4 linked regions of the Daphnia pulex genome follow. The main gene of each other region encodes a partner of the protein of the gene in region 2 in a complex. Links are inferred from orthologs where the notes say so. Each region holds a gene or a part of one and is shown on either strand. Other genes may lie near its edges.

Region 1 (7,080 bases), on a different chromosome or scaffold from region 2:
TTCCTTTAAAATGCGTAACACAATTAAAAGAAAAAGGTGATTCCGGAATTTTCATTTAATAAAAATAAAACACGGAATTCTGTGTGTCGGTGTTTACATCACTCAAAACACCGTGAAACTGACTCGAATCATTTCACATTTTCAGAGAGAAAATGAACTTTTTTTCTTCCATCTCGTGTGTGTGTGTGTGCGGTCGATATTGTGTATTATGTGGATACATCCTTAACTTTTTGACCGACAAAGGAACTCGGCCGCGTCCCGAAAATTGTTGTTCACTTTATAATAATATTTTTTCCCCTGTGTGTGTTGTTTTCCAAAGTTTAAAAATATGTGTGTAGTACGTGTTTGTGTCTGGGGTTCTCTATGTGAGAACCGTGAAGACATAAATTTCATATCCCGACCCCCCTCTCTCACAAACAGAAAAGAACGAACGGAACACATAATGGGGAGCTTGGATATAAGTGTGTGTGTGTGGGGGGGGGGGATAAGGGGGTGAATATAAGGGGGAACATTTTGTTGAGTTCGTTCACCCCTTTTTCTTAAAAAAACTTATTTCCATCAAAAAATAGATGGATACTATTTTTTGAATAATATAACAACCCCAAGTCAACGAACCCCTCTTCTCCCGTTATACAACAGTCCCCCCCCTCCTTTTTATACATTTTTATCGTAATACCCCTCTAGGCCTATTGTCTAATCTATGAAAAACGGCGCATATGCGACGCCCGCAATCAAAATGGGGAAATATATGGCGGATATCCTCCCGTTTTTCGAACCCAAAACAAGGGGAAAATAATAATTTTTTCACCAAATTTTTGTTAAGGCCTATTATCGATCGCCTAGAACAACCCCTATTGTCATTTCGTTCGAAATTTTTGTTTTTTTAAACTTCCATTAATTTAAAATACAATTAACTTTAATTCGATTAAATATAAAAGGGGTGGATTTCTCTTTTTATAAATAGGTATAGAATTTGGAATTGGGTCAGTTGGTTACATGAATATCAAATGGAATTTCTTATATGTGGGATATCTCAGACTCTCTCGGGGGGTGGGGAGAGAGAAATCAGAAATAAATAAATAAGAAACGATGAGAGCAAAGAAGGGGTAGTAGTAGAAGATGGTCGAATGTGATAGAGCGTTTTCTTCTTTCAGTTCCATACCCCCGCCAGCAGACAACAACAACAACAACCAACCAAAAGGGTTAGATAGGGAAATTTCCCATCCTTCTTCTCCCACCACATATGGTCAAAAAAAAGAAGAAAAAAAAACGAACGAACGAGAATGATAGTCATGCCGTTCCCCCCTCCTCCCCTCATCTCTCAACTCGTTTCTTCAACTCCATCAACAGTTTCCATCTTATCATTTTCAAAATGATTTTTCTTCTTCTTCTCTTTTCTCCCGTGTGTTCCCAATATTTCCATTCACCTTGAAACAAGAATTTCGGGAGAAAAATAAAATAATCACGCCCGCCAAATTCGAAAACCTTTGCGTGATGCATTTGTCTCTAATTCACGTTGAGAAATAATGGTTTGGAGTGAACGAAAAAAATGGAATAAAACCTGTTGTTGGGGAAGGGGGAGAAAAAGAAAAAGAAACATTTTTCGCTACTATCTACAGGTGTGCATCTAAGCTGTCTACGTCGGTATATACTTGTGAATGTTTTATATACCTGTCCCGAAACAATAAGCCATCTAGCGGCGGTCGTTGCTTTATTTTAAAAGGAAAATACTTTTCTATTTTTTAATGTTTCTTTTTAAAAACTTCTTTCTTTCTTTCTCTTTCAGAACTGAAAATGTCGGCGACAATGTCCGTAAGGGAGAAATTCACGCCCACAAAATGTTGTCCTTCTTCTTCTTCCTCCCCTGAAGCTCTTAGCTCACTCAGCCGGACAGAGAGCTGTGCTTTTTGTGTGAAGAAGAAGAAGAATATAAAGAAAGATACAATGTCTTTCAAAAATTATTTCTTTTTTTTTAAGTAATAAAAAACCTACCGCGTGTCTGTATACAATAACAGACACGAATATTTTTCAATAAATACACGCAGAAATAAACAAATTTCAAAGAGGCGGGAAATTCAAAAAAAAGTTCCGAAAAATTAAAAATAAAATAGGAAAAGAATAGGAGGGGTATATCTATACAGTTCCAGGAAGTGGTTTTATTTGTATTTACAGTCGACCGTGCCACACACACTCTACTGTGTTGTTCCCGAAAAAAATAAAAAGAACAAAAAATTCACGTCCGGAGTGAAATGGAGTAAAAATACCTAACCCCTCCGCCTCTCTCGACTTTGGGGTTTTGATAACGAACCCACACACAGACAGACAGACAGACTGGTATATTTATTATTTCGGCCGGAATCTTGTAAAGAAGAAAAATATATCGGGAAGACGAGAAGAAAGAAAGAAAAAAGGAACGAAATTAACATAAAAGTCTCGTATGTGTTAAGAATCTCAGTGGGGGGGGAAGGAAGGGGTTGGGTGGGGGGGGGGAGTCAGACAGCCCGAAGAAGAAGAACTCGTTTAAGAGTTGGAAAAAAGAAGTGAGGGACCTTTGCGAGCTGCACTCTTCCCCCTCTCTTTTCTTCATCTTCCTCCTCCCTTTTAGTATTTTTTGTTTTCTTTAAAGAAAAACATTTAAAAAAGAAGAAGAAGGGGGGGATATACACACACACACAGTTGCTGCCCCGAAGCGGTATGCGGCGCTTCTTCTATAGAACTAATAAGACTCTATATATTCCCCAGTTATCTCATATTTATCCTGAGCAACATCAAAATTTACCCTGGAAAATTCGTGAAATAAGAAAACAAATTGTTCAAACTCACCTGAAATTCTGCCAAACGTAATCTTCTCCAAAGACATAATCGCTGAACGCAGACACTGTTGTTGCATCAAAAAAGGGTTGGGGAGGGAGAGAGAAAAAAAAAGGAAGTGGGGAGACTGAACGCCACCCACTTCCAACCCCCTTTATTTTTCCCCCTTCTTACCGAACGACCGGAGATCGCCGAAAGGGGTCGGAGAAGATGGCAGCACTATATTTATACACACGGGAGAATTTTTTCTACTTCTTCTTTTTTAAAAAATAAAAAGCTAAACAACATTCTATCGTTTTTTTTTTCTCCTCCTCCCGCTCCCCCCTCCTCTTTTTTTTTGTTGCACGCCATTCCTAAACAAACGGACCGCGTGTTCTTTCTCTTCTTACGAGTGAACAGCAACTTCTCTCCCCCCTTCTTTCCATTTTGGGTTTTCTAAAGGAAGACAAAAAAAGAAGTGGATATATAAAAGGTTGGAATCCTTTTCAAACAGTTTCTTTTACAATCTGTCACCCCATCTTCCTTCCTTCCTGAAATGACTTGCCTCACCTGTGTGTGACAAGAATGTTCACTCAATATGATTTTGAAAAGAACAGATTTAAAATTGATGTTGTGGCGGAAACCAGAAATGAAACGAAATTCTTGCAGAGCAAATTGTTTGTTTCATTTTCTTCTTTTAAATATCAAAAATAGGGAACTAGAGCAAATAATGGTTGGATTTAGGAATTTGGACCTGTGCTCTGCATGGCCAGTTGGGTCTGTGCAATGTCGTGAAGTGCATTCTGAATTTTCTCGAGCATCAGCTCTCCTTCGCTGACAACCTCCCTCAATCGTGCAGCGGCACTTTCATTTTCATTCTCCAGCCTTCTGAGACTTGCAATCTGCAGCGATTGAATTAATTTTAGTCAACTTCGTAGAACATTGCACCGACAGAATACTAATAGAACCAAGTTTATACCTGCAGTTCGGAGGTAGAATCTTCACTGGGTAGTGAATCGATTAGGACGTCAATATCTTTGGCGCAGCGGGCAATCAATGTGGCAAAAAGAGAAGCGTGATCTTCTTGTTGTTGTTGAGGTGTTCGATTGCCTGCTCGATCGAAACCTGGGAATGTAGCCGGTGGGGCGGTTTGTTGCAAAATACCGATGGCATTGCAGAAATTATCAGCTTGCTAGAAACAGAGAATTAAACCACGAATTTGAGACGATACACTTGGCAATTTCGTCAATGCAATCAGTTATAAATACCGCATTTATAGCGTCTTGGAGTTGTGTCAAACGATCAGCCATTGTTGATGGAAATGCAGAGATGAGAAAAGCAGATGTGCCGGCTATTACGCCACCTAGCGATGAATCTGATAACTTCAATGCCAAATTTAAACATTCACAACCTGTATTGTGAAATTAATTCTACATTCTGATGATTACAGGAACTGGGCAGTAATTTACCGATCTGCATATATAATTTGTTAAAACAACAATTCAAGCTAAATATAATGCGTTATCTGATTCCCGTAACAGGCACTAAAACAAAATACTAGAACGTGATCCTGAACACATTACAGTTTAAAATTTTGTTTTCCTTCAACTAAGTAAATTTGGCTATTGCTATTAGTCAATTGATGGATAGATTCCAGGCAGTTGATTGCGGGATTATCGCCATCGGCAATCGCCATTAACTGTGTAGCAAAGATTTTCCCAACTTCGAAGGCAAGCGGATGAGTCGCATATTCTTTCAGCTAAAATATTTAAAATTCAATTACACAGACTAGGAATAATTGAAAATGTTGACATTTAGAAAACTAACCGGCATCCAACAAGCGTCGCTGAGCTCACGAGGACACATTTTGATTTCTGTGCTACCTTCAACAGGTCTGAGATAAGTCACGAAATAAATGTCTGAACAGCCGAACCTTGCACTGGGATTCTTCTCTCTTGATTGCAAATGCCGCACGGCAACGAGTGAAACGAACTCTGTCTTAATACCAGTCTCCTCAAACACCTCCCTCTTGACAGCAGTAGCAATACTTTCCCCTGTAAATTTAATAATTGGTAATGATTGAATGTTAATGATGTCTAAATATACATACCTGGATCTACATAACCACCAGGGAGTTTCCAGTGTGGTCTTTTGTAATACCTTTCCTGAACCACAAGAATCTCATTCTTATCATTGACAACCATGGCTCCAGCGCCTACCATTGTGTGTGCATAACTAGGCACTTGACAAGGTTCGTCAGAAGGCAACCATTTGAGCAACACACTCAACTCTGGGTTTGCGTGATGGAAAGAAAAGCCATTCTAAGAAAATGAATAAGGTAATGCTCGTGCAGTTTTGACTAGCAATAATTCTTCTTTGACTACCTGAATTAGTACTGGAATCCATTCAGCACAGGTTGGTTCCACTTCAAACCAGACTCCACGAACTCCAGTGGTGGACCAGACTTGCAGAGATTCTAAAAACAAACAAAACAACTATTACATAAAACAAATGATGTGTTAATATATAAAAATAAATTTGCACCTTTAAGAAGCTGCTCCATTCGGTTCCTTTCTTGTGGCTCTTCGCTCGAGCGCACAATGATTCCGCCGAAAAGATCCTTGGCACCTTGGAATGTCGACATTTTAACAACAATTGATTTCGTCTTGGCCAGAGCGCTGCTCAATAAATGACGAGCAGCAGTAGCATTCATAACACCCGTTCAATAAATATGTCATCACGGCCTATCTCTTCATCTATACACAGAGTCCTTTTTATTCTAGAGGCAGGAGATATCGTCCAACGACATCGTATAATATTTATGTTGACATCGTCTGCACTTTTATGTCCCGTGAATCCGAGTTGCCACACATTTTCCCTCTCTTTTCCGGCTTCTATTGTAAATCTCTGCCTGTCTTTTCCAACAATAAATGATAAATAAATGATACAGACACTTTACTAGAAGGGCATGAAATACAAATGCCAAGATTATGTATCTATCCATTTTTTCTGCCCATGTTATTTCACCAAAACGACCTGGCAAGTTGCGAATTTCGACCGCTAGATGGCCAAGTTCGTGACAAATCAACACGGGAACGGATGATTATGTTTTTCCTGCCCCTTTTCCCGATTCGTTTGACCGCCTCGCTAGGCAGCCACCACCTCCTACTCACGGTCAAACGCACAAACACGCACGCATACATTTTTTTTTTCTTTTAAAGATACACAAAGTCGTAGTAGTACACTCCCCCCACTCGCCGTACTGTATACACACACACACACTTTCTAAGTTTCTACTGTCAGCCGTTTGGGATTGCTGTGTGGCGCATTTGGCGGCCATGATCATCCATTTTATTTTTCTTCCCCCCACAAAAGCAATTGAAATCGAATCACACACAAACCCCCAGTGATGAAATATAACTTGTCAACTCACTTGTCAAGTGTTGAGCAAAAAAGGGAACATGAACAAGTCATGCGCCAGAACAAAACAAGAGTTAGTCCATATAATATCATGATCCATCCCATTTAATCCGGATGAGAAGAGATTTACGTATAACTAAACCATCTGCGCAAACACACAAGTGTGTGGGGAGGGAAGAGAGCTACCGTTTTTATTATTATTATTATATTGTGTGTGACCCTTTTTTGGCATTTCCTTCGTTATCAAAAATCCTTTGTTTGGCTTTTTGTACAGACAGGAGCGCCACCGCCACTTGATCCGTCTCTCTCTCCAACTTTTCCTTTATATATACGAAAACTATTTTGTGTGTGTGTTCGCTTTCCCCCTCTCTGAGCAGCATATGATCGATAATTTAGACCGAGAAAAGGCGCGCGTATATAACACACGACGAGAGTAGGGCAATGTCACGCTGTGCCCACACACACACACAACTCTGACGACCAGAAATTTCGGTGAACGAGACAATTATAATTTGACCAGAGATGAAGAAATACACAGTATAAGCCTTGACCTGTTTGAGATGACGTCACTCTAGGGGCTCCACATTTTTTTTGTCCAAGATTTATTTCCATCACTAAGAAAATATTAGAGAGACACGTGAGTGTGTTTGGAATCCGGAATGAATCACTGGGATAATATCGTCCGGCTTTGGTGATGTTATTTTCTGCTGCTGCCCAGGGAAAGGAGCTCATCTTTTTCATTAGTGTAAAGATTAAAAGCTCGTGCGGGAGATAATGATGGTGACATATTGGCTGTGTTATTGTATTATTATTAGCATTGCAGGCCAATCCGCACACGATCCCTGACCGGGCGCCAATGAAAACAAGGAC
Region 2 (8,651 bases):
CAAACAATTGAGCACGTCGCAAGTTGAGACTATCGACCAACAACATGCTAAAGATTGGCATGCACAGTTGTCAGAAGATCCATTTGGAAGCTTACACTTTGCCCCCATGCCCGAGGCCGACCCTTTTGATACTCAGTTTGCCTCCATGGCTCCACCGCTTTTTTCTGCTCCGTTTCATTCATCGTTATTAGTTGAGTCTTCGTCTCCACCCATCCCCACTTCCTCCAGTAGCTATTCGAAGGTCTCTAAAGCAATAAATCCCATATCCCCTCGTCCAAGGAACAGTGCATCCTCTATCACGAATACGCCCTTGCGAGTTTCAACGGCAAAGTCCAGTCCTTCCCGTTATCCTCGAGGAACACTTCGGGTGACTCTGCCTATCAGGCAAAGTCAGTCGGATAGTGACAATGAGATGAATAACGTGACCCCTCAAATACCATCCTCGCCGAATCAAGCTCGGCGTAATCAACACACCACCAACCCACACGCCATCAATGACGCCACTTCACTCAGCAGTTTAAGTTGGTCACCACGAGGTCCGAACACACAGCGACCAAGTCAACTTGGGTCTGTTCATCATATGGGTACTGAAGTTACAACCGTAAGTGGAGCGGAAGACTCGCCTCTTCCACCTTTAGATTTGTCGTCAAGTGAAGATGATTCATCGTCCAGTTCTGTTGAAGATGAACAGTTACAAAGAGAACATTTGCAACTGCAACATTCGCCGAAACAACATTTGCAGTCATTGCAGCAAGAATCTGTTTCGGGCTTGGCAATATTACCAATGCCTCCACAGCCACCTCCTCGTCCGCCTGTTCTCCGGCCGCCACCATTGCCTCCCAAAGGACAACCGCCACTTATACCACAGCGACCAGTTGTAACCCCTACTGATGAACTCATTTATAGTGGGCAACAAACGCCACCGCTTCCGATTCCCGTTCGGAAACCAAAACAACCGTTGTCAGTATCTAGTTCCCTCTCTAGAGGACAGAATGTCACTCGTCACCTTTCTCGAGAAGATGGAGAGGAATCGCATCGTCCAGTCAAACCGATTCAGTCGAAACTAAATCAAATATCCCTATTGCAACTGTCTAACATGTCCTTGGCTGAGTTAGCGGATACCCTTCAGCTGCCACCTGCGCGACTAACCAGCATGACTTTGACAGAATTAGCCCTGCGACTGGCAGAGTTAAATAAGATGACAAAAGAAGAAGTCAAAGTTGAAAATAAGAAAACACGCCATTCCGAAAAGAAATTCCCGCCATCGCATCCTTACTTCCCGACAACTGGAGGAGAAGAGGAGGAGGAAGAAGAAGAAGACAATGAAGAAGAGGAAGACGAAGAGGAGGAAGAAGAGGAAGAAGAAGAAGAGGAGGAGGAGGAAGAAGAAGAAGAACCAGAGCCCGTTGAAGTAAAAGTAGATGAAACGGAAATCTGTTATAAAGGTGGTAAAAAGTACGAAATACTCAGCGATGCTCCCGAACCAGAGGATGATTCTGCTACTCGACACGCTAAAGCGCCTCAACCGACGAATACTCAAACAGAAGCTCGTCCATCTGAAATCTCAAAGGTGTCTGATAGCGACCGATACGCTGCTCTTAGAGAGATAATGGAACAAGATTTGGCTGTGTCATCCACCGCTCAACAGGATGAGGAAATGGGAAATGGTGATTCCGAATTTGCAAATTTTGATGAAGTCACACAAGTGCTTGCATACTCAGCAACACAAGAAGCCGGATTTCTGTATGGCAACCCCCCAGTCGCGTCCGTCGGTAAAACAGTTTCCCCTATTTTCGGATTTGAAGATGATTTTAGCCACATCCAGTTGAATCGATTGACTGAATCGCCATATGATAAGACTGGTGCCCGACCCAAGACTGCGGTGCAATGTCATCCTAGCGGAAATTCTGTATCTTCCGGAAGTGCCGAATTTGATCACTTTGCCGAGGAGGACTCGGCAGTAAAATCAGCAGCAACTCACACCGTTTGGAATGGTTCGACACAGAAAGATTACAATTTTTCTGAAACGCCTGCAGATGAAGAGGAGGAGGAAGATGAATCAGAAAGAATAGAAGTCATCGAGAAAGAAGATAACGAAGCCATTGATGATTTGGCTGACAAGTTTGCTGCTTTTGAAGCACGCTTCCCTGCCAACCCAGTTGAAGGATTTGGTGATTCGTTTGCAGATTTTGACCTTTCCTCAGATAAAATGGTTACCGAACCAAATATTCCACCCGTTTCAGATTCGTTTGCTGTCGATTTTAGTTCAGCTTTTAGTGAGGCTAAGGATCCGGATCATCAGCTAAAGACCAAAGGAGATCAGTTGGTCAAGAAATCGACATCAGTAAACATCTTTTCACGAGTAGACGATCCCTTTGATGACGACTTCTTCCAACCGGATCTGCCTCCAGCTAAAGCTTCTTCCCCTGCACCTTCTAATTCTCAAATGGTTAAACAACCATCTGTTCATGTTTTTAATACGATCGTCGAAGACCCTTTTGCGTGGGTTCAACCCTTCGACGATAACATTCAATTTGATGACGTTGACGATGAATTTACTCTTTAAAACTATCATTTAAAAAGTCGGAACCTTGTCTATTGCGGATTGACGTACTATCTTTTCTCTTGCGCTAAAAATTTCTTTGTCGTTTCTGCCATCCCCTGTCCCCAACAATAACAAAAAAGAAAGCATCCAAGTAACATTTTCTGTCATATCTGTATTTATGACCAGTCATGGAAAGTGGACCTGAAAGTGTGGCAGAATAATAGTTCACCAAATCTCTTGGTGCATCTTTGTTGATGCCAAATGATGTCAATTGGCATAGAAAATGTGACGGGCTAGTCATCTTATTTTTTATTTGTGATTGTATTTTCGTTTCGTAGCCACTTACCATTTTACCCTTCTTTTAATTTTTTTAATTTTTTTTGCTGAACATGAATCAAGGACTCAATATTGTTTCTTTTTCTCGCTTTTTTTTGCTCTACCCAAGTACCCATACACAGCCTCCACTTGTTTTCGCTATTTGGCAGTTACTCCCTTCGTCAAACATGATCATAGTTTACAGCAATTTTCCTTTGATTCCTGGAATCAAAACACGATCCATCGTGTATCTTTTATTCTATGTACCTTTTTCATTTCCAGCGGTAATGCATTATTAAACGTTTTAGTATGAAAATGTACGCATTTTATTTTATTTTACGAATTCAAAATGAAGACAAAATACAATAAGTTGCTAGTAATAGATGAAAAGAGCATCAGAATCTTTGATTAAATGAGTTGTTTTGCTGAGGATGCGACTGTTGTTGAGGATGGCCAGGATGATTGGAATAGTTCGGATGCATACCTCCTTGCATGTTGCCTTGTTGTGACGGATGCTGAGGGTGATGGCCATGGCCATGATTAGAATTACCCGATTGTGAAGCATGTTGCTGTTGCTGTTGTTGCTGCTGCTGCTGCTGTTGTTGTTGTTGCTGCTGCTGTTGTTGCTGTTGTTGTTGCTGCTGCTGCTGTTGTTGTTGTTGCTGTGCAGAAGGATGCTGCTGTACATGGGGTTGCTGTCCAACATGTTGACCATGGAAATCTGGTGGGCCTCCTGACATGTTGGATCCACCAACATTGTTTCCAGGATGTGGGGGAGCCAACCGTACTCGTTTTGCATTAGGACCATGAGACTGGTCATTGGGGGCATTCGCTGCAGTATTCTGACCCTGTGGATTCTTAGCAATCATCTGAATTCAAAAGTGTACCCAAATGCCAAATAAAACGCAAATGAAAGAAAACCAAAACAAGGGAGACGAAAAAGACTAGATAAAATAAAATCAAAAGAACAATTTATTATTACCTTGCTGCTATCAGATTTGTCATCTTGCTCTTCGTCACTCAAAAATTCTCGCTTCGGGTACGGAATAGGACAACCAGCAAATACGCTAATGAAACACAAATCTGATCAAAACTGATTCTTATATTACATTATGATTCTTATTTTAAGTTTACTCTGAAGTAGGTAAAGGATCTTCCTGAAAGTAAGGATCAGCCATGGCAGATTCTGAGGTGAATCTTTTAGTAGGATCCATCATTAAAAGTTTGGAAAGCTTGAAGCAAATTAATCAGTCAAAAAAGGAGAGAAAAAAACGCAACTTTTAATTTTAAATATCGATTACCAAATGAAAAGCTTTAGTATCGGCTTTAATTTTATACCGGTCCATATACTTCATCAAGGAACATGTTTGATAGCTAAAAGAAAAAAATAAAAAAAAAATAAACAAAAGATGCATTTTGAACATGGAGTTAATATTAAGAAGTAAACAAACAAATGGAAATAAACACTTACTTGTTACGTTTAAAATCCTTGAGAAGTGTAGGATGTTCAGGCATTTTTTTAATATCTTCCCAGTCCTTGTCATGTGGAAATCCCATTACGTTGAAAATTCTACAAGGAAATGTAATAAATAATTCATTTCTGACACTCACGAAGAGCAAATTTTCATACCGATCGAGTTGATCGTGATGATAGGGATTGGAAGTTTTAATGTCTTCTTGACGACAATGAAAAATTGGTTCTGATGTTAGTAGTTCAGCAAAAATACATCCAATAGCCCAAATATCTAAAATAAATTGTAAAGCAATGATATAGAATTGTGAAACACCACACAAACTACTAATGTTTTACCAATAGCTTTTGTGTAGTGCCTAGCTCCTAAAAGCAGTTCTGGTGCTCGATACCAGAAAGTCACAACTACAGGGTCCAAATCAGCCAAAGGTTTCAGTGGTGAATTAAACAAACGAGCAAAACCCATGTCGGCAATTTTAACTCTTCCCCTTTCAATTCCTTCTCCCATGACTAAGATGTTGGCTGGTTTCTAAGGAAAAGAAAGCAAAAATCTATTTGTTGATGAAAATATTAACAAAAGCAGATAATTCTCAATACCAAATCACGATGAAGGATCCAGTTAGAATGCAAGTAGTGAATCCCATCCAAGATTTGATATAGCAAAGATTTTACCATGGCTTTAGGAGTGTAAACTGCCTTTTTATTTGCTTTGGCTGCTCTGTGGAATTTAATGATGTGCTAAATTTTGGTTTGTGACAAATATAATAAGTTAAAAGATCATGAACCAAAACAACTTTAGAAGGAAGATTTTAACAAACCCATAAGTCATGTTCTGCATAATCAAAAAGAAGCCAAACTTTGCGATCAGTATGGGAAAGAAATACTCGTTGAAGATTGATCACATTAGGATGCTTTAACTCCCTGAGCAAGGCTATTTCACGACAAGCTGACATGGAAAGACCAGTGCCTTCAATTTGCTTTAATGCATATTCCTTTTGGTCAGCACTATAAAATAAAACATAATTATATTGAACTTACACAATTTCTCGTGCTTAGAGAATATCAAACCTAATTAGTTTATTAATATCCGAAGTGGCGAATGTTTCCTTTCTTTTCGCTTTATACACATGACCGTAAGTACCACGACCAATCTTCCTTCCTTCATATTCAAACAGATCTTCTACTTTGGTACGTTCTACGCTCGTTCGAACTTTAAAATCGTAATCCATGCTAGTTATTGCATGAATGCAAATCAATTTGTGTAATGTTGATATTTTTTCTTGTTGACGATTTTTGGTTTGTTATACTGTAATGACGTTTGCCAGATGGAGGAAATGAAGAGCAGACGGAAAAAACTAAAAATTCAAATAAAAGGCAGAGCAATAGATACCTGGTCGGTTCTCGGCCGTGTTGGCTTCCCTATCCCGGTTTCAGGGTAACCGTGGTCCGATTTGGAAAAATTGATGAGCGCCTCTAGTGAGTGTGTCAGGTACTACGTGAAGCCAGCCAATCAGGAAGGGTCTATGAAAAACTCATTGACCAATCACAGCTTACTTTTCTACAAGAAGTGAACAATAATAAAAAGGTAGAAGTATCCAACTGTCAAACCTCTAAGTCATATATAAGTGTCCTATTTTTCTAAGTGTTCTCACATTCTTACATTTTATTGTTTGTTTGTGTAAAAAAAATATGTAATGACATGGTATGTTTAGTTTTCAGTTACTTTGAATTTTATTCTAGTGTAGTTACAAATGGGTATTTATTAAAACGAATCATTTTCTTGCATACAATGTTTCATAAATACAGAGGTACCTACGCAAGTTTTGCTAATTTTTTGTTTTTTTTTACATTTGCTGAAGCTTCAGCTAACAAAAGATTTTTTAGTCTTTTTGATTCAAAATAATATCTAACTCCCACATATTCTCTTATGAGGTAAGGTAACTTTTCATCTCGATGAATGTCACAAAAAATGGGAACCAAATGACAAGTTGAAATTTTCTCCATGCACTCTTGAAATGACTCCTCTTCATACATTTGGCCAATTGGCTCAAAATGACCCTCAATTACCTTTTCTATCACTCTGAATGTTTGGAACATATTTACAGTGACAAAGATCAAAAACCCCTTATTGCGCATTCGAGTATAATGATCTGCAGTGAAGTCTTCTGGCAACTCCAGTTCCTCGCAGCGAAGGGATTTGTAACAGTCAGGACATTTTGACATACTCTTCCTTGTGTGAATCATATAACCACACAAATCATAAATCAAAATATCTTTGACGAAATTAGAATTCGCTGGTTCGTTAATTTTATCAACAAACCGAATTGTTATTTCCTTCAGTAGTTTATCTTCTAATACTGATCTCAGGTCGGAAGCTCGAATGTCACTTTCCTTGGCTTGACGTTTAAGGCATTTTGACATTGTTACTAGGATGTTCATCTGCTCAACATTGTCAACGTTTGCTCCTTGTATAATCGTGGATAATCTTGCTCCAAGAGACACATAGCGAATGATTTGTTGAAAAGAAGTCACCGTGGGATGAGCATCAACACCACGTACAATGCCGAACAGTCTCTGTATGAATTAGAAAAAAAGTTATTGAGTAATTGCAATAGAAATGATAATCACGATTAAAATTCGTTTCACCTCTACTGGATCTTGATTCATTTTTCCAGTGAGGACTACTGTATAGCCTGCGTTAAACATTTCTTCAGTTAACGCAATAACGCTTCTTATAGTCATTCTCCATCCATGTACGGTTGTCAAGGAACAAAACATTTTTCGGTTTTTGTCCTTTTCATAAATCCTCTCAGTTACTGCTAGAACTGCTAACATGGCTTCAAGTATTTGTTTCCTGCCTTTCACTTTTTCATCATGTGCATTTATCCACCAGTTATTGGGAGTGATTCCTTCTTTGATATGTCTACCGTTGAGTACGTCAAAATTGTCATTCACAGTCTTTGTAAGCCGCTCAATGTGTTCAGTACCTAACAATATGTAATAATCAATAGCATTTTAAATTGATTGATTAATTATGGAAAATACCTTCAAACAACTTTTTCAGCCGTTTTTCATTTGCAGTAAAGGCTGGCATTTCACGGTAGATTTTAAAAGCAAGAGCATTTCGTTCCGAAAATGTTTGAGCAGCTAGTCTGACGTTCATTTTTTGAAAATTGTTTGGTTTTACGTGCGCTTCAGTTAATCGGCAGCATAACATCAATTGCAAACCTTTCTGGGCTTCCAGTAGATGTTCATACGAATAAAAATTTACGTTGTGTCCCTGGAACTACAAATAATATTTAGAATTACAAATTAAGTAAAACAACATTAAGAAAAATAAGTTACCTGAACTAATTTATGTTCAAGCATATGGTTTCTTGTGCATTTCAACAAATGAGGAACATCGTGGAGGCAATGAATTTTCACTGAAGGATCCATAGGGTGTAACATGGAATTAACTCCATCTTCCGTTCCAGAAACACCAAAATGGGAATACACCGTTTTGTTTGTGGAAAACCCATCACATACGCTTGCTTTCGTTATAGCTCCAGCTTGAAACAGACGCGCAATGCTTTTCGTAACTAGTTCTAGCAAAACTGTACCAGATGCTCCACCCTTTGTTCCAAACCACGCAAACGGTTGAATCCAGCCTTTATAAAATGGTCTGAACACAAACACTAGGACATGGTCTGCCAAACCATTTGGGACCATAATGGAAACTTCACCTGCAAAGTCTACTATGCCTTTCCACTTCAGACCTTTACTGTCCCATCTCATGTCCTTGGTTATTGATATTTCGTCCCACATTATAACTCCCCAGCGCTGCCATGCCAGTAATCCTTTGAACGCATCGGATATCTGCTCGAGCGCAAGCGAATTAAATCCAAACTGACACTCGGAAGAACTTAACATCCTTCTCATCGTTGACTGACTAGGAAGAGGTAGAAGTCCAATTTTCCGTATGTGCACATATGCTGAATAACTTTTCATCCTTAGGATGACGCACTGAATTAGAAAGGAATGGTCATATCTCATAGTCTTTCGGTGTCTGTTACGTTCTGGATCAATTTTGGCCTTGGCAATAAACATCTTAACAACCACTTTTTCCTATAAAAAAATTTGACAATTTATTGAGAAAAGAATAGTATTTCTGAGTTTCGGTGTAGCATGGGGTTCAAATAATAACTTACCGTTTCTGAAAGATGTCTTAGCTGATAATCTAGTCCATTTGTTTTTTCTTTTTGAACCATGATTTGGCATTCTTTGCGTAGATCTTTAATCAGCTTACAGGCATCCTTGAAAGACATAAAATTTTAAATT
Region 3 (6,929 bases), on a different chromosome or scaffold from region 2:
AAAGTTAGACACCACACTTTAATTGAATTACTTAGAATTAGTTGTATTGGTGCGGGTAAAGATCATCTCAACATACTACATGATCCTAGATGACCATATGACCTTAGTCTGTTGCCAACCCAAAGGTCATTCTAAGGATAGAAAAAAATAGCTCAGAACCAAGGGATTCTAAAAGTAGAACTCACATTCCCAATACGATAAAGACTTTTCATTTAAACAACTTCTAGACATCCAATCAATGAGCAAGGCAAAGTTAGAAAGCTGCCTCCACTGAATATCTTTAGAATCATGGTTCGATCAATATTATACGTCGTCCCTACACGAAGGTCACCTTGACACAGGATCGTTCGGTACGAATCCTAGAAACTCTTACATTTTGTGAACTACATTCAAACCGATATGGTTTCACACTTACCTTCTCCAATTTACAAGATATGTAACTATTCAAATTGTATGATGCAACTTACTTGGTAATATGAATTTGACTGGAAAAGACGAAGGAATTATCAGGACAGACGAGATCGTACAGTCGGTGCAGTCGAAGTGACGAGCTAGTCTTGGGAGTCGGGGCTATTTGCTATATACCGCCGGTTGGGTGGCTTTTAAAGAGTCGAAGCGACGAGCCTGAATCCGTGCGGCTAGCGGGAAAAATTCCAACGTGAATCTATGCACGTTGGCTATAAATACGATAGTACTGACTGGGAAGTTAAGTTTGGTAAGGGCACCTTGTCGTCTCGTCCTCACGAATTTTCTGACACGCTTTTTTCTGTGTTCCCCTTCGTGTTTGACAGTAGTATGACCCTCAGGCAATGTCAGTTGATCACGTGCACCTCGACAAGCAGACATAAAAGTGGCTATTCTATGTGAAATCTTTAAAAATTCAATTTCCTTTGAGTTTGTTAACTTGTTATTATCACGCAATTCAGTATTCTGTTTTGATGCCGAAAAAATCAAAACAACTTATGCACACAAACAATTTCAATGCCATTTAGATGACGTTGTTTTGACCGTGGAAACGAGATCCCTTAAGTGTGTGTACATAAATATGGCGAGAATATATGAAGGTTAAAACTCGATATTTAGCTACGTGATAGTGGTGGAATATTATATTTTTATTTTTCATTATCTTCCCAGATAATCGATCGAGTTAACTCAAAAACAAACTGCAGGATCAGGATTGAGAATAATCCACGTCATTATTTAGTGCTGCAATAACAAATGTATCAAACTTAAAAACAAACACGTTTCGAATTTTTATTCGTCTACTTTTATTTTGATTATAGACGACCTTGACTATCTTTACTACGGCTGCATTCTGTTTAGATCGTCGTCAAGCGCCACTTGCTCGGTCTACACACGTCAAGAATGGCTGATATGCTGAACATTTCGCTGGTAAACGAATTGAATTATGAAGATTTCATCAGTCGATTCGGTAATGTAGTTGAACATTGTTCAATTTGCGCGGCGGCAATTTGGCGTAATCGCCCATTTCGTGACGTTCATCATCTCCACCAAGAAATTTGCTCGTTTTTGGACCTCCTTCCGGACACAGGTTAGAACTATTTAGTTACAGGCTGCTTGAATGCTTATTTATAGCCAATCAATTGAACATTTGTTTTCTCATTTGATAGGTAAAGAGGGGGTGCTAAGACTTCACCCTGATTTGGCTGGCAGGCTAGCTGAACTTGGCAGCCTAACACAGGAGAGTACTGCTGAACAGAAAGCTGCTGGTTTAGACACAATGACACCTGGTGAAAAACAACTGCTAGGAGAGACCAACATCAAGTATGACAAATTACTGTTCTATAACTATATAGTAACTAATGAGCTGTGTCTTTTGGGCTATTATTTTAATAGATACAGAGAAAAGTTTGGATTTCCTTTTGTTATCTGTGCCAGGCAGAACAAGAAGGAAGCAATCTTGAAAGGAATAGTTGAGAGATTGGAACACTCAGCTGCTGAAGAACTAAACATTGGGATTGAAGAAGTGAAGAAAATCTGCCTTTTGAGGTTGTTGAGTATAGTAACTGATGACAAATCTCGTAATATGTAGAGATTTTCCACTCGCTCCCATCAGTTGAGGTCAACAGCAGCTATTCCATTCTAAACATTCTCACTCAAAACAAGTCTTCCAAAACATATGTGTTGTTAACATTTTGTCTGGTAGTTTGCAAAAACTCAACACAAAATACAGCAATTTACAAAAATTTGTCTATATTGTCTTGCATATACTTGCCCAATATAAGAGAAGTTTAAAAAGTTCCTTAAACAATAATTATCATGAATCAAACACTTTTCTGGGGTGTTGGCTCATTCTGAACAGTCATCATGTGCTTCTCAGCTTGACTTTGAAGAAGACGAACCCTCTTTCTAGTGTAATGTTGCCAGTGAAGGATTTGTTGATCATCAATGAAGCGAGCACACTGGCCATTCACAACCTCCTTTCTGAAATGCTCATATTGAAGCAAGTCTAGGAAATGCAAACACATTGGGTACCTGGAAAATAATGAAATTGTAATTTCTAGTTAGGGTAAATTGCAAGTGAATTGGTGTACTTCAAATATTTTGCATAAGCAGGCTCCTTCCAATACTGTAAATACTTGATGTAGTTGACAAACGCCGGATCCTTAAAATAGCCACGTTGAGCAAGGACTAGTGTAAACAAGGCATAATGAAAGTGTTGATTTTAAAAATAGACCAAATACTTACAGTGCAGATAATTTGGATTTGCGAAACATTGCACAAATTCTAGTTCCACCTGAAATCGAATCCTTTGTTGTTCATCAGTTTCTACCCATCGGAAAAAGGAATAATAACATAGCAATGAGAATCTGTATTGAAAACGACTACACTTCACGATATATTTACCTCTGGTGCTCATTGCGAAGCAAACAACGAAATAACGTAGTTTGCTTCAACAGTTTTGGAAATCTAGAAACGAGGCAACCGGACAGAATGGAAACGTCAGACAACAACTTGAAATGGAAATTGGAAAGCGTCAACTTTTGCAATTTGTCGTCTGCTTGATCAATTGATGCCATCTAGAAAGAAATCGAGAAAATATTAAAAATTGAATTAACTTAAAAAAATTTTTACAAAATAAAAAAAAAATTAAAACGATTTCAAATTTCATGCCCACAATTTATTAATGTGTGTGGTGGCCTTATCACACAGTTTGATTTCCGAATTTGGATAACATTTTGCGGTTGCGCTGCGCCGTAGGACCCTAATAAACCATGAAGCCGCAGCTGATAGGCTAGACGGCTAGACTATACTAACTTCAGTTTGCACCGTGAGTTATTTTATTTTCCTGTAGGAGGTAAGATCAATAGAAGAATTTAGATGGAATATGGAGTTGAAAAACAAAAATACCAAAATAAAAAAGTCAAATCAGAAAAATTATGAATTCAGCAGGAAAGGCGAACGGAAAAATAAAAAGATGGAATATATTACCGTGTGATTTCCAGTTGTTTCACATATGCGACATTCTACGCCTCCGTTACTATTTTATCGTCCTTTTCCAGAACGGAAATATTTGAAAGTAGGCTAATCAAAAATATTCAACCCAAACGAAATCTGTTGAAATTTTTCTTTGACTTTTGTTCTTATTTTCGCCACTTTTGATCGGATATCCGGTGCGGGGGCGATAGCATTCTACCATGTATAGGTCAGAAATATCATCTTAAAGTGTCATATCTACTCCGTGTATACGTGACATCCGGATAATGCACGCGGCCGTGAGGGCGGTGTATCATGTCTGAGTGCATATTCACGTATTGTACATGTGGTAGGTCTATACTACGTAGCCATCCTCCTGCGCACTCGGCGGATGTATAATGGTTGGTTCTCACCTACGGCCCCGAGTTTTCCGGTAGACCATGCGACAATCAAGAGGATGAACGTATCAATCTTAATTCCCTGGTATTATCTAATAATCGTGCTTGAAATTCCACTCTTCTATGATTATAAGTTCAATCAGCAAAGTGACGTGATTGGAGTAACAAATAGATTCAACGCGGATTTCTGCCGTCGGTCCGGGATAAATGATGGAGTAATATTCCATCATTGATAGCACAGAATTCAGTAGAGCGTAGGTAGCAACAGGTGGCGTGACATGACAAAAATGATCCAGCTGTTGCTGAGGCAGTGTGGGCTTTTATCAATCACCTGCCGCTTATTGCCTGACCCATATCAGCCTTTTTTTTTTTTACCTGAGGAGTTTCAAATTTTCGTGGAAAAGATTCTCATTACATTTCCCCGCCATATTAATAACGCTTTTGCCACTAGGTAGACGAACCGGTGGGCGGTGGCACGTGCGACGGACAATGCCCAAAAACTGACTCCGCCTCGTCTCTATACTTTCGGCAACTGTTGTGATGTTAACCTGCCGTTGAAGGCAATTACAGCAAGCCCCCGATTCCATTTGCGTCACGTCGCCGAGTATATAGCAGTCGACGCAGAGAGGGGGGGGGGAAACAAAAAATTAAACAATGTAATAAACAAAACAAAAGGGCGACGCGAAATCTTATTAACGCAAAATATTAACGTCAAACAACTTGTCGACGCGTCAACGAAAATGGCAATCATATGCAGCCCACTGCTGGGGTACATCGTATTTTTTAACTAGTCTAGTAGACGAATCATCATCTTTCTCCTGAACCTTTTGCTTCAAATGAACTGAGACTAGACATTAATATTTATCTGATCGCGTTATTTACAAAACAGCAAAGCGCATAGCATACAACTTATTAATCTAATGGTACTCAGCAGTAAGCGTGTTATACGTCGTATTAGGATGACAAGTTTCCTACCAGGTGAAATCTTCATTCGTGAATATTCAAGTGAACATCTGATGCGATTTCGCATTCATTATTCAAATATTATAAAGAGTAGTACAAACACATTATATAGCTAGCGCTTTTAGCTGGGTAGCTATATGAAAATTGAGTGACAATTCAAAAAGAAAAGGAATAATCAGAAAACGGGATCAAAGGATTTGGTCGGATTTGATGGTCTTACGAAACGAGTGATGGGAATAAGAATTCATTATGCAACAAACTGTGGGGAATTGAACGACAACGACTAAAAAATAACGGGTGGTTGCGTTATTTTTGTCTATTCTGTTAACGTGACCATCATTAAGTGGCTATTAACGGGATCCAGTTACATAGACTTTAATGTCAACCATATACCGACTCTTTTTTTTTCTTTACTGAAATTATCAGAATGGGGAATAAGTAGGCTAATTATAATTGAATTGCCAGGAACACTTATTGACACATGCAAAAAATCTATAAACGAGTCGATCCTATTAGTCGCAAATGTTTCAATTATTCAACTCACGCCGCTGCAGCTATATAATGAAATCACCAAGAATTTGCAAGTCTTAATCATCCTTATGCAGCGCTATACATTATTTTCGACATGATGTCAAAAATAGAATAGTTTGACATCAAAATAAAATCTTTCTTTTGTTTATAGTCTTCTTCCCTTTCTCACTCTTACGCGTACATGTCGAGGGGGTACGAGTGAATGACATCAAGTCTAACTATACCGTCTTCAACCAGTTATACGGTACATAGAAAACATTGTAGGCTGTTGTCATGGAGAAGCAATTAGGGTCTATATTGTACTGTTGCCGTGAAGAAAAAATCCACCGGAAGAATAAGAAATTTAAGAATCAAATCAAAATATCGCCCTATATGCGTATTATTATTTCTCCTTCTAAGTAGAAAATTTGACTGCGAATCCATCATGTAAGCAGCACATGCCAGCTATAGAAAAACAAAAGAGTATCCGAGAAACATTGTGTTCTATTCTCTCTATCTAAAAGGGAATAACAGCTGATGATGTCACATCCTGCCATTACATTATCCAGTGCCAGAAAGCTTTTTTTTTTCTTCCGCTCCGGAATAAAATAAAAGGACACTGCTCTTAGGAGTGCAGCAGTGGGTCCTTTTTTAATATATAATACATATATATCAACCTCCAAGGGAGTAAAGAAAAAAGAAAAGTAGAATGATCGAATACATTACAGTGCGGATATGGATGGTGCCGTAACGGCGATGACGCCGGCGTTCAAAACGTTAATATCCCGACGAAATATATAGTAATGTGACGTGGTAATCGCTCACAACAGAGGAAATTCACCACAAGTCCTCATCTGATGTAACAACCAACAAAGAAGCAATATTACAGTTGCAAATTCCAGCCAACTGCCAACCTTTGTATCGATATTTTGGCCGGTGCAATCACACTCAGACTATATAGGATTGGCCATCGATCCATAACCATATGCCTACAGCACCACACATATGATTTGGCGTGCACAGGATATGTATATAAATGATTGACTATCTAAAAGGTCTAGCTAATATAATAGCCTATTATTATTAATAAATAATTAATTGAATCTTTTAATTGAAATTGAATACCACAAGCCTATCAACTAATTCCAGATAAATTAAAAAAACCTTCCGAATGGTTGGAGATGCAAATGATGGCCCATCTAAGAAATAGAATATCTTCGTCATTTAGCGAATAATGTGGAGCTGTGAGGATGAGGTAGGAGGAGGAGCAACAATCTTTCACGGTGTGTCACACGTAAGGGTAGTAGCCTACAGATTAGATTATATGCTACATCACGCTGGATTGAAACTGTTGTTGGTAGCCTACTATACGCCTCTTTGGGACTTGTGCAGTATAGCTTGTTGCTGAGCACTATTACTCGTTGCTGCTGCCCTTGTCTCGCTCGTCATTTTCAATCATGTCACGACGTCGTCTTGAATCAAAATCACATTTTTATATGGCGCAGACTGCTGTACAGCTGAGTGTCACATTAGGGATGCAGCAGCAGCAACCAGCAGCAGCCAGCCAGACAGACAGGGAAAATAAAGAATAAGAAAATAAAAAAAGGTGAATTTTTTATT
Region 4 (7,245 bases), on a different chromosome or scaffold from region 2:
GAGACATGTCTCCCACGTACCAACTACAAAGAAAAAAAAAGTTATTCCTTGACGAACTTCTCGAAAGAACGATGAAAACGAATCATACTCATATTTCTGTAAGCCAATTAGCTCTTTCTCCTTTACATAATTCGATGGAATGTAACCAATTCCCCTACAAAGATGCACAAAATTTGGAAAAAAGAATTAGAATTGTATGGAAATTTTCTTTTATGTAAGCATACCCAAACTTGTCGCGGACTTTCCACCAGTGTTCCTGGGAATCGTCGACCACTTCGTATTCTTCACCCTAAATGGAAAAAAACGCAATTGAACATTCCTTTCTGGACTACGAAAGATAAAGCATCATTGGGACTGGACAGCGAAATCACAGGTCCCACCAAAAATATGTGGGTGCCGAGTTCAATTACCTTTTCTAAGGATATGTCCCCGCTTTCGATAGCCTGGAATGGGTAGAGGGCCACAACCTGGACGGAAGATCCCAAAAGGTAAACACAAAGAATGCGACGATTAGTTTTTTGCAAATAAACAAGACATGAATAAGGGTCAATCTTTCGTTTTGACTGCATACCTTCTTAGGCACGACAGCGGGTTCAGTCGGGATGGAAGAACCTAATGGTGAAAAAAGAATAAAGCGCACGATGAGTGGCGGTTTAAAGGAAAATAAATAACATAGATGGAGAACAACGATAGCGAACAAGAGACGATGGGGGGTGTCTTATGGTTTGAAAGGTAATTTTCATCGTAGAGCTGAATTATCATCGAACTTGGGAGAAGGGAAGCTGGGGAGAGGGGGGTTCTTTTTGTTCCTCTTCTTCTTTTCAAAGGCTTATTTGGCGGATGTACTGACACACACACACACATACACAGCCGTATAATAACCTTCCGTCCTTGGCATACAAAATAGGCCTGTCGTCTATATGTAGTCTTCGACCTAAGAGTTTCAAGGGCTTGGAGATGGATACAAAACACAACTAAAAATAAAATAAAAAAATGGGATAGAAGAGAGAAAAAGAGGGGAGAGAGAGAGAAAAAAGGATAGAATGGGAGAAACGAGTGTGGGAGAAATCGTTGCTGCGTCTTCTATTCAACCACAGGCGAACAATGGATATAAGGAAGGCTTTTCCTAGCAGACTCGATACCGGTATGAGAAATTGAGGAGGGAACTTTCTCCCCTTCTCTTTAACGCGCTCCTTTGAATTGTACGCGTGTCAGAAACTCGTAAACAAGGACGGGTTTTTACTTTTCTAATAGTTATTCTAATAGTCCCAAAAAAGAAAAGGAAAAACTTGCAACGTCCAGTCTGGACCATTTCTGGCTGACGAAAGAGGAGGTGAGGTCAGCCGAGCTCCCGTCGATTTGAATCTAATCAACATCCAACTCACTTTACACACACACGGCACTAGAATACGCTCGAGGGAATTGAAACACGCAACCACACAAGACTGTCGACAAGTTTCTATCGCTACTACTACTTTCAAACGTTGAAACCAAGAAAACAGGAATTAACGGACAACAGATAAGTTGTGGTATAATCTCACATACTGGATTTTCTGCAAGGGGACTAGGGAAATCCCGAAGAAAACAATAAATCACAAATGTAAATATTTTCCATACAACACAACCGCATAAGAAATGATTGCCCTCGCAAGCATTCAAATACAACAGATTAAAATTAGAAATTGAATTCCAGAAATTTGTCGGAAGGCAAGCCAAACCCAAGTGCACATAAAGACCCACCGCGATGGTTTACGATTGTAACTTAACGCATTGAACACCTGTTGAGTCATTCAACAGGTGACTTTCAGGTGGGAGTCAACGTGAATAGCCTGTGCGATTTTCGATTGCTCAAGGGTAGTAACATGAGAAGAAAACCGATGAGAGAAAAAAACAACACAACACGGTGAAGCCGAACCATACCTAGAGTCAATTTACTTTCGGTGATCTTATAAGAGAGAGAATCCGAAGACATTGTGGACCAAATAGGCCAGCGGCAACCAAAAATGCGCATAATTTGCCCGTTAAAACCTCTGAAACATCAGCCATGTACGTAAAACTTACATACACGCATTGAAACTAGAGAAACAAAATAGGTAGGGGCGAGCTGACTGCAAAACTTGCACTACAACAAAATAGATTTGAACAATGGACCAAGGCAGCAGGTGGAAGCTTATCAATAATTCTCACGTTATTTTTTATCTCGTAAACACAAGCGCAACACTAATCGAACTGACAGGTAACTATTTCAGTATCTGAATGAAACAAACGTAGGCTGTTTTTCTGAGAGATATGAGAGACTGTGCTGTGCTGGCTTCATCATCTCTCCCACACTTTCGCGTAGGAATAGTCCAGTTTGTCGTTTGCTTTCGCTCTCACACGGGACTTGATGAGATGTGCAGTCCTCTTCTCGTCATTAGAGAAAAAGAAACGTGATTTATGAGAGACGCGGTCAGTGCCCACTGAGTACAGGGAGAGGGCTAGAACTAAAAACCGCCGAAAGGAATAAAAAAATCTCGGGGAAAAACAAGCTTGTGTGCATTCTCTAGGTCTTCTTCTCTCCGACCGACCGCAAATCCCCAACATTTTTCAATAGAGAAAATTTTCATGAATATTGCCAGTACCAATCTCACACAAGTTTTCTTTCTCTAAACCACTGCAGCGCCACACGCAACACTCACTTCTCTAGTTTTCTAATAATTAGTTGATCTTTTCAGCTATCCGATAATTTAGCTTCGCAAGTGAAGTGGATGTAATAACTTTATCCATTTAGTTTTTTTTACAAGGAAAACAAATTGAATCTATTCCAACGACGCAGTTTCTTAGAATGTGCTTCTATTGGCTTAAATCCCCCTCCCTCCCAAAGTCCTTGACTAAGGATTTGATGCGAAATAACTCAACATTAACTGTTGTTCATGTACTTAGAAGTCGTACAACTACTGTTTCCTAGAAGTATTGCAGGCAACGAACGGGTGTAAATCATTAGTTAGCACTTAGTAGGATACATAAGCGGGTATAGTACCTAACGCAACAACGGCGTTGTGAGAAGTGGAAGGGGATGCAGGAACAACATCCCCGACGATTGCCGGATGAATTTCCGTCGTGGGTTTAATCGCCGTTGGTTTGACCATGGCCGCCTCGACTTCAGCCCCATTCGCAGGTTTAGCGACAGGACTTGGTGAGGGAGACGGATGGTGGATGATGTTACTGAAATTGATGCCCATGTGTTGAAGTGTATTGGGAGCCCAAGTTACAGAACGGCAACCGTTTATTGCCTTAGACGTGGACCTTTGGGTTGATCCACAGCAAAGATAACTTCTATTCCCCCACAGGGCAGGGTGATACACATTCACAAGAGGAGCACTGTCTTTGACCACTATCAGGAGAAAAATAAAATAAATTATTAGATGAGATAAAATGAACATGTGAGATAAATACTGCTATTTGTCACACATAACTACTTGAGACGTCAAAAGAGAATGTTCTCACCAACTCGGATATTCCAAAGCCAGATATCTCTTTCTTGCTGAGTGGGAGTGAAAATGCAAAGAGTCAAGTCTGTTGCACTACAACCTTCATTACACTCATAAGGATTGTACACTATCTGAAAAGCAGGAGATCCCTTCAAATCACTCGGAATGGAACCTGTAAGGTTTGCCAATGGACCGATGGCAGGTGTGTCAGGTGCTGGATCAACAGCTTCCACAACTTTCACTGTTTGGAGGTCGACACGTCCCTTTTCTTTTCCTTTGCGATTCTGTTGTTTGGAATTGATGGTTGTGATGAATTAGTGATGAAGGGATTCACGAACACAGTCCATGCGTGTTTAGTAGAACTAAACCTTACCTCGCATTCGCCCTCGTAGTAGGCGAGGAACTTTGTGGTAAGGACGAACCATCGACTCTTGTAGTTGATCAAACTAAACCTCTTCTTGTTCTGTGATCGTTTCACTAAATTGCCTTGCTTTTTTACCTCACCTGCAAGAGGTTTGGCAGAGCTTTTAAACATACTTACAAAACGATCACTAATCAAAAAAGTAGTCCCCACTTGATAAAGCTGTTATAACTTCGTTCATTGTCTTTCTCCCTGGACCCTGGTACGAAGAGAATGAAAGCAGGACGAAGAAAAAGCTCTCCAAACCTCTCTAAATACTGGCAACTCGGACAGATCTAGCGGCAGTTGCCGACAACTATTATCGGATTTAATTTCCTCCGAAAATTAGCGATAAAATCGAGGAAATATACATTTAAAATAAAAAAATAAACAACGATTAATTGATTTAATGACAATTTAATGTAAAATTGAATTCTTTTACAACATTCTAAATCAAATTTGTTTCCATTCAAGAATGGCGTGTCGGGACAGCCACAAAAAGGAGAACATTGATCAAAAAATAGTCTGCTGAAATCCCCAAGCAAACGAACTAGAAAACGTCACATTCTTCATTCTTGAAAACAAACTATATTGTTTACATTACTATATTGCTTCATTCCAGTGGGAAAGTAAAAATGTCAGAAACGGCTCAAGTTAGTTCATTACCTTTGCCACCGATGCAATATGTCAGTCTTTTTAATGAAGAAAACGCTAAAAGAGGAAGAACACCGAGACCACCTCCTCCGATCACAGACAATTATTCCATGTTTGGTAATCCATATAATACTGATGATGCTGTGATCCGACCTCTTGAAAGCCAGGTGATAGAAGTTTTTTCTTAATCAAAGCTTTCTTTAATACTCGTTTTACTATTCCAGAATATACGACGTCTGTACCCTAATAACTATGACCACAGAAGAGAACTGAAAAAGCTCAATCACTCCATCACTGCTAGTTTCCTTGACTTGGTTGATATCTGCATACGAAATCCAGAGTCTGAAGCAAGAGCCACAAAAATTGATGACCTCACTTTGCTTTTCATTCACATGCATCATCTGGTCAATGAATTTCGGCCTCATCAAGCAAGGGAAACTCTTAGAGTTATGCTAGAACAACAAAAACGACAAAGATTGGAAATTGCAGAGCGTTTCAGAAGACATTTTGACAAAGCTTGGGAATTGGTTCAGCAGGCTGTCAACACAATTCCTGAACCAACTGAAGGCAACATCAAGCTCCTTATAGATGTTGAACGGGTTCAACCTTCAGAAGGCAATGCAAGCAACCAAACTTCTGGGAATGGGTGTACTGAGGAGGATCGTGTTCTGTGTCAAATGATTGATTCTTTGTGAATTCTGTGTTATTTTATGTTTATTCAAAGTGGAAAATACATTCGATCTACTCGCCTTTCTGATGTAAAATAGTCTGCTGTTTTATTTTTAATCGTTTTGGGACAAACATAATCTCGGTGATTTATTTTTTTTTAAGAATTTTTATTTTAAAATAATTATTGCAATAGATTTTTCTATTTGTATTTTAGTTGATAAATGTTGATGATCCACCTAAATTAAACATCTAGATCAAATTGCAACGTTGTTTATTCGTTTTAGTCCGTCTGCAGTCGCTGTAACATATTTTTCCTTCAAATTTTTCCTCTTGAAAGTTGATTCGAAACAACAATACCGTTGAAGTTAATTCTCTGCTTTTGGTAAGTGCATTGCTGTTAATTTAACTGTATATTGAACCGGTCTATCGATAGTTATTAGTTTTATCATTTCGCCTTGCAGGTAACATTCAATTGTTATAGCCAAAGCAAGTTTTTACACGTGATCATCTTTCGTTAGTAGAGTAAATTTTAAAATGACTGAAAGAAAAGTCAGCCCAGTTCCCGTCTATAACAATATCCTAATGGAACAATTTTTTGATGAGATCCATCCCAAACGAAGTCCTGTCATACTCAGAGGATTAGACATTGGAAGTTGTCTAGGAAAGTGGACAGCTGAATATCTTTCGCAAAATGTTGGGAATAAGCCAGTGAAGATTCATGTATCTGAAACAGGGCAAATGAATTTCCTAACCAAAAACTTTCATTATAAAACACTGCCGTTTGATCAAGTAATCAAAAGGTCTTCTGAAAATGAGCACGAAAACTTTTTTCTAACAAACAGTGAAGTTTACTATTTAAGGGCACTTGGAACTGATTCAAGGGGAAGAGAGGTTGCCAATCTTGATTCTCATTATCCTGAACTTTGCCAAGATTTTCAAGTTCCCAAGTTTTTGGAACCAAGCACTATTTTTTCAAGTGTCCTCAGGGTGGCTTCTGAAGGAGTTCAGTTGTGGACACATTACGATGTGATGGACAATCTTCTTGTCCAAGTCACTGGCAAAAAACGAGCCGTTCTCTATTCGCCAGAAGACCTTCCGTATCTCTATTTGGAAGGCGACAAATCTCGGGTTATCGACATTGATTTTCCTGATCTGGAACACTTTCCGGAGTTCGCCAAAGTAACATCTCACGAATGTATCATGGAGCCCGGAGACGTTCTTTTCATCCCGGCTCTGTGGTTTCATAATATGACATCACTCGAGTTCTCCGTAGCAGTCAACGTTTTCTGGCGAAACTTGAGTCCAGAGGTGTACGATAAAAAAGACCCTTACGGCAACAAAGATCCGCTACCGGCCTCAAAAGTAAGGCACTGTCAAAGCTTCAGGGCCTCGGTTATTTTTCTATCTCAACTTTCAAACTGCAGGCGTTGGAGATGGTTGAATCTGCTCTGAAACACCTGTCCATGCTGCCTGAAGAGTATCAACGTTTTTACAAGAGGAGAATGGTTTCTAGAGTTTTAAAAAATTTTTGATTATTGTGATCAATAAATTGGATAAAATTTAAAAAAAAATGCATTTATCACATCATAATTAGTTGACGTCAATTACCATTTTATTGCTTTCCATTCTGTTATACGACCACTAATTTTTACGAACCATTTTTATATCTTTCAGGTTGGATATCGTTTGATATGGAAGGTGTAGCGGGAAGATTTCCCGTCCAGACTAAAACAGAAACTATCGAGATTAACGGGAATTCAACAGAAGTTGTCATTTCAAAGTTCAGGTTGGAATAATTCTTTAGTTCATTGCTTGCATTACTTACACTTTAATTCATTGTCCTTTTTAGCGACAAGTTATTTATCATACTTACTCAATACGGCAAGGTGGGAAACGTGGTTGAAGTCCGTCGGGACGTTGCTCAGAAAGACGATTCTTCCAGTGCAGTTTACAGCGTTCGGTAATTCTTGTATGTCGTCTCAATTTCGTTTCGTTTTTTTAACTTTCATTGCAATTTTGTAGAGTCTTATTCGGTCGAGACGACGAGGAAAT

Evidence for each region.
Region 1: cyclin-dependent kinase 8-like (region 2) and mediator of RNA polymerase II transcription subunit 21-like share a complex: the UniProt entries of both Caenorhabditis elegans proteins name them as parts of the mediator complex. The link is inferred for Daphnia pulex from reciprocal best matches to the Caenorhabditis elegans genes cdk-8 and mdt-21.
Region 3: cyclin-dependent kinase 8-like (region 2) and mediator of RNA polymerase II transcription subunit 31-A-like share a complex: the UniProt entries of both Caenorhabditis elegans proteins name them as parts of the mediator complex. The link is inferred for Daphnia pulex from reciprocal best matches to the Caenorhabditis elegans genes cdk-8 and mdt-31.
Region 4: cyclin-dependent kinase 8-like (region 2) and mediator of RNA polymerase II transcription subunit 7-like share a complex: the UniProt entries of both Caenorhabditis elegans proteins name them as parts of the mediator complex. The link is inferred for Daphnia pulex from reciprocal best matches to the Caenorhabditis elegans genes cdk-8 and let-49.

What each region holds. Positions count from the first base shown.
Region 1 is NC_060027.1:1,943,184-1,950,263, forward strand, and holds mediator of RNA polymerase II transcription subunit 21-like, read right to left. Parts: upstream 4,194-7,080; 5' UTR 4,101-4,193; coding exon 4,059-4,100; intron 3,983-4,058; coding exon 3,770-3,982; intron 3,693-3,769; coding exon 3,531-3,692; 3' UTR 3,454-3,530; downstream 1-3,453. Other genes in the region: nudix hydrolase 8-like, read right to left, coding at 4,370-4,549, 4,618-4,844, 4,901-5,111, 5,175-5,266, 5,335-5,503. UniProt on the Caenorhabditis elegans protein: Component of the Mediator complex, a coactivator involved in the regulated transcription of nearly all RNA polymerase II-dependent genes.
Region 2 is NC_060023.1:3,947,049-3,955,699, forward strand, and holds cyclin-dependent kinase 8-like, read right to left. Parts: upstream 5,773-8,651; 5' UTR 5,561-5,772; coding exon 5,400-5,560; intron 5,337-5,399; coding exon 5,150-5,336; intron 5,070-5,149; coding exon 4,929-5,069; intron 4,861-4,928; coding exon 4,671-4,860; intron 4,606-4,670; coding exon 4,491-4,605; intron 4,431-4,490; coding exon 4,332-4,430; intron 4,235-4,331; coding exon 4,162-4,234; intron 4,093-4,161; coding exon 3,995-4,092; intron 3,928-3,994; coding exon 3,843-3,927; intron 3,730-3,842; coding exon 3,256-3,729; 3' UTR 3,163-3,255; downstream 1-3,162. Other genes in the region: protein disabled-like, read left to right, coding at 1-2,566; uncharacterized protein LOC124198281, read right to left, coding at 6,144-6,905, 6,978-7,318, 7,377-7,617, 7,677-8,438, 8,522-8,626. UniProt on the Caenorhabditis elegans protein: Component of the Mediator complex, a coactivator involved in regulated gene transcription of nearly all RNA polymerase II-dependent genes.
Region 3 is NC_060024.1:13,243,538-13,250,466, forward strand, and holds mediator of RNA polymerase II transcription subunit 31-A-like, read right to left. Parts: upstream 3,023-6,929; 5' UTR 2,882-3,022; coding exon 2,869-2,881; intron 2,791-2,868; coding exon 2,710-2,790; intron 2,653-2,709; coding exon 2,556-2,652; intron 2,497-2,555; coding exon 2,286-2,496; 3' UTR 2,198-2,285; downstream 1-2,197. Other genes in the region: 2-oxo-4-hydroxy-4-carboxy-5-ureidoimidazoline decarboxylase-like, read left to right, coding at 1,366-1,552, 1,632-1,785, 1,858-2,053. UniProt on the Caenorhabditis elegans protein: Component of the Mediator complex, a coactivator involved in the regulated transcription of nearly all RNA polymerase II-dependent genes.
Region 4 is NC_060019.1:10,644,609-10,651,853, forward strand, and holds mediator of RNA polymerase II transcription subunit 7-like, read left to right. Parts: upstream 1-4,369; 5' UTR 4,370-4,505; coding exon 4,506-4,691; intron 4,692-4,748; coding exon 4,749-5,219; 3' UTR 5,220-5,288; downstream 5,289-7,245. Other genes in the region: tyrosine-protein kinase Btk29A-like, read right to left, coding at 1-23, 89-154, 225-289, 411-467, 572-612, 3,020-3,373, 3,487-3,754, 3,844-4,005; proteasome assembly chaperone 3-like, read left to right, coding at 6,885-6,979, 7,043-7,153, 7,216-7,245. UniProt on the Caenorhabditis elegans protein: Component of the Mediator complex, a coactivator involved in the regulated transcription of nearly all RNA polymerase II-dependent genes.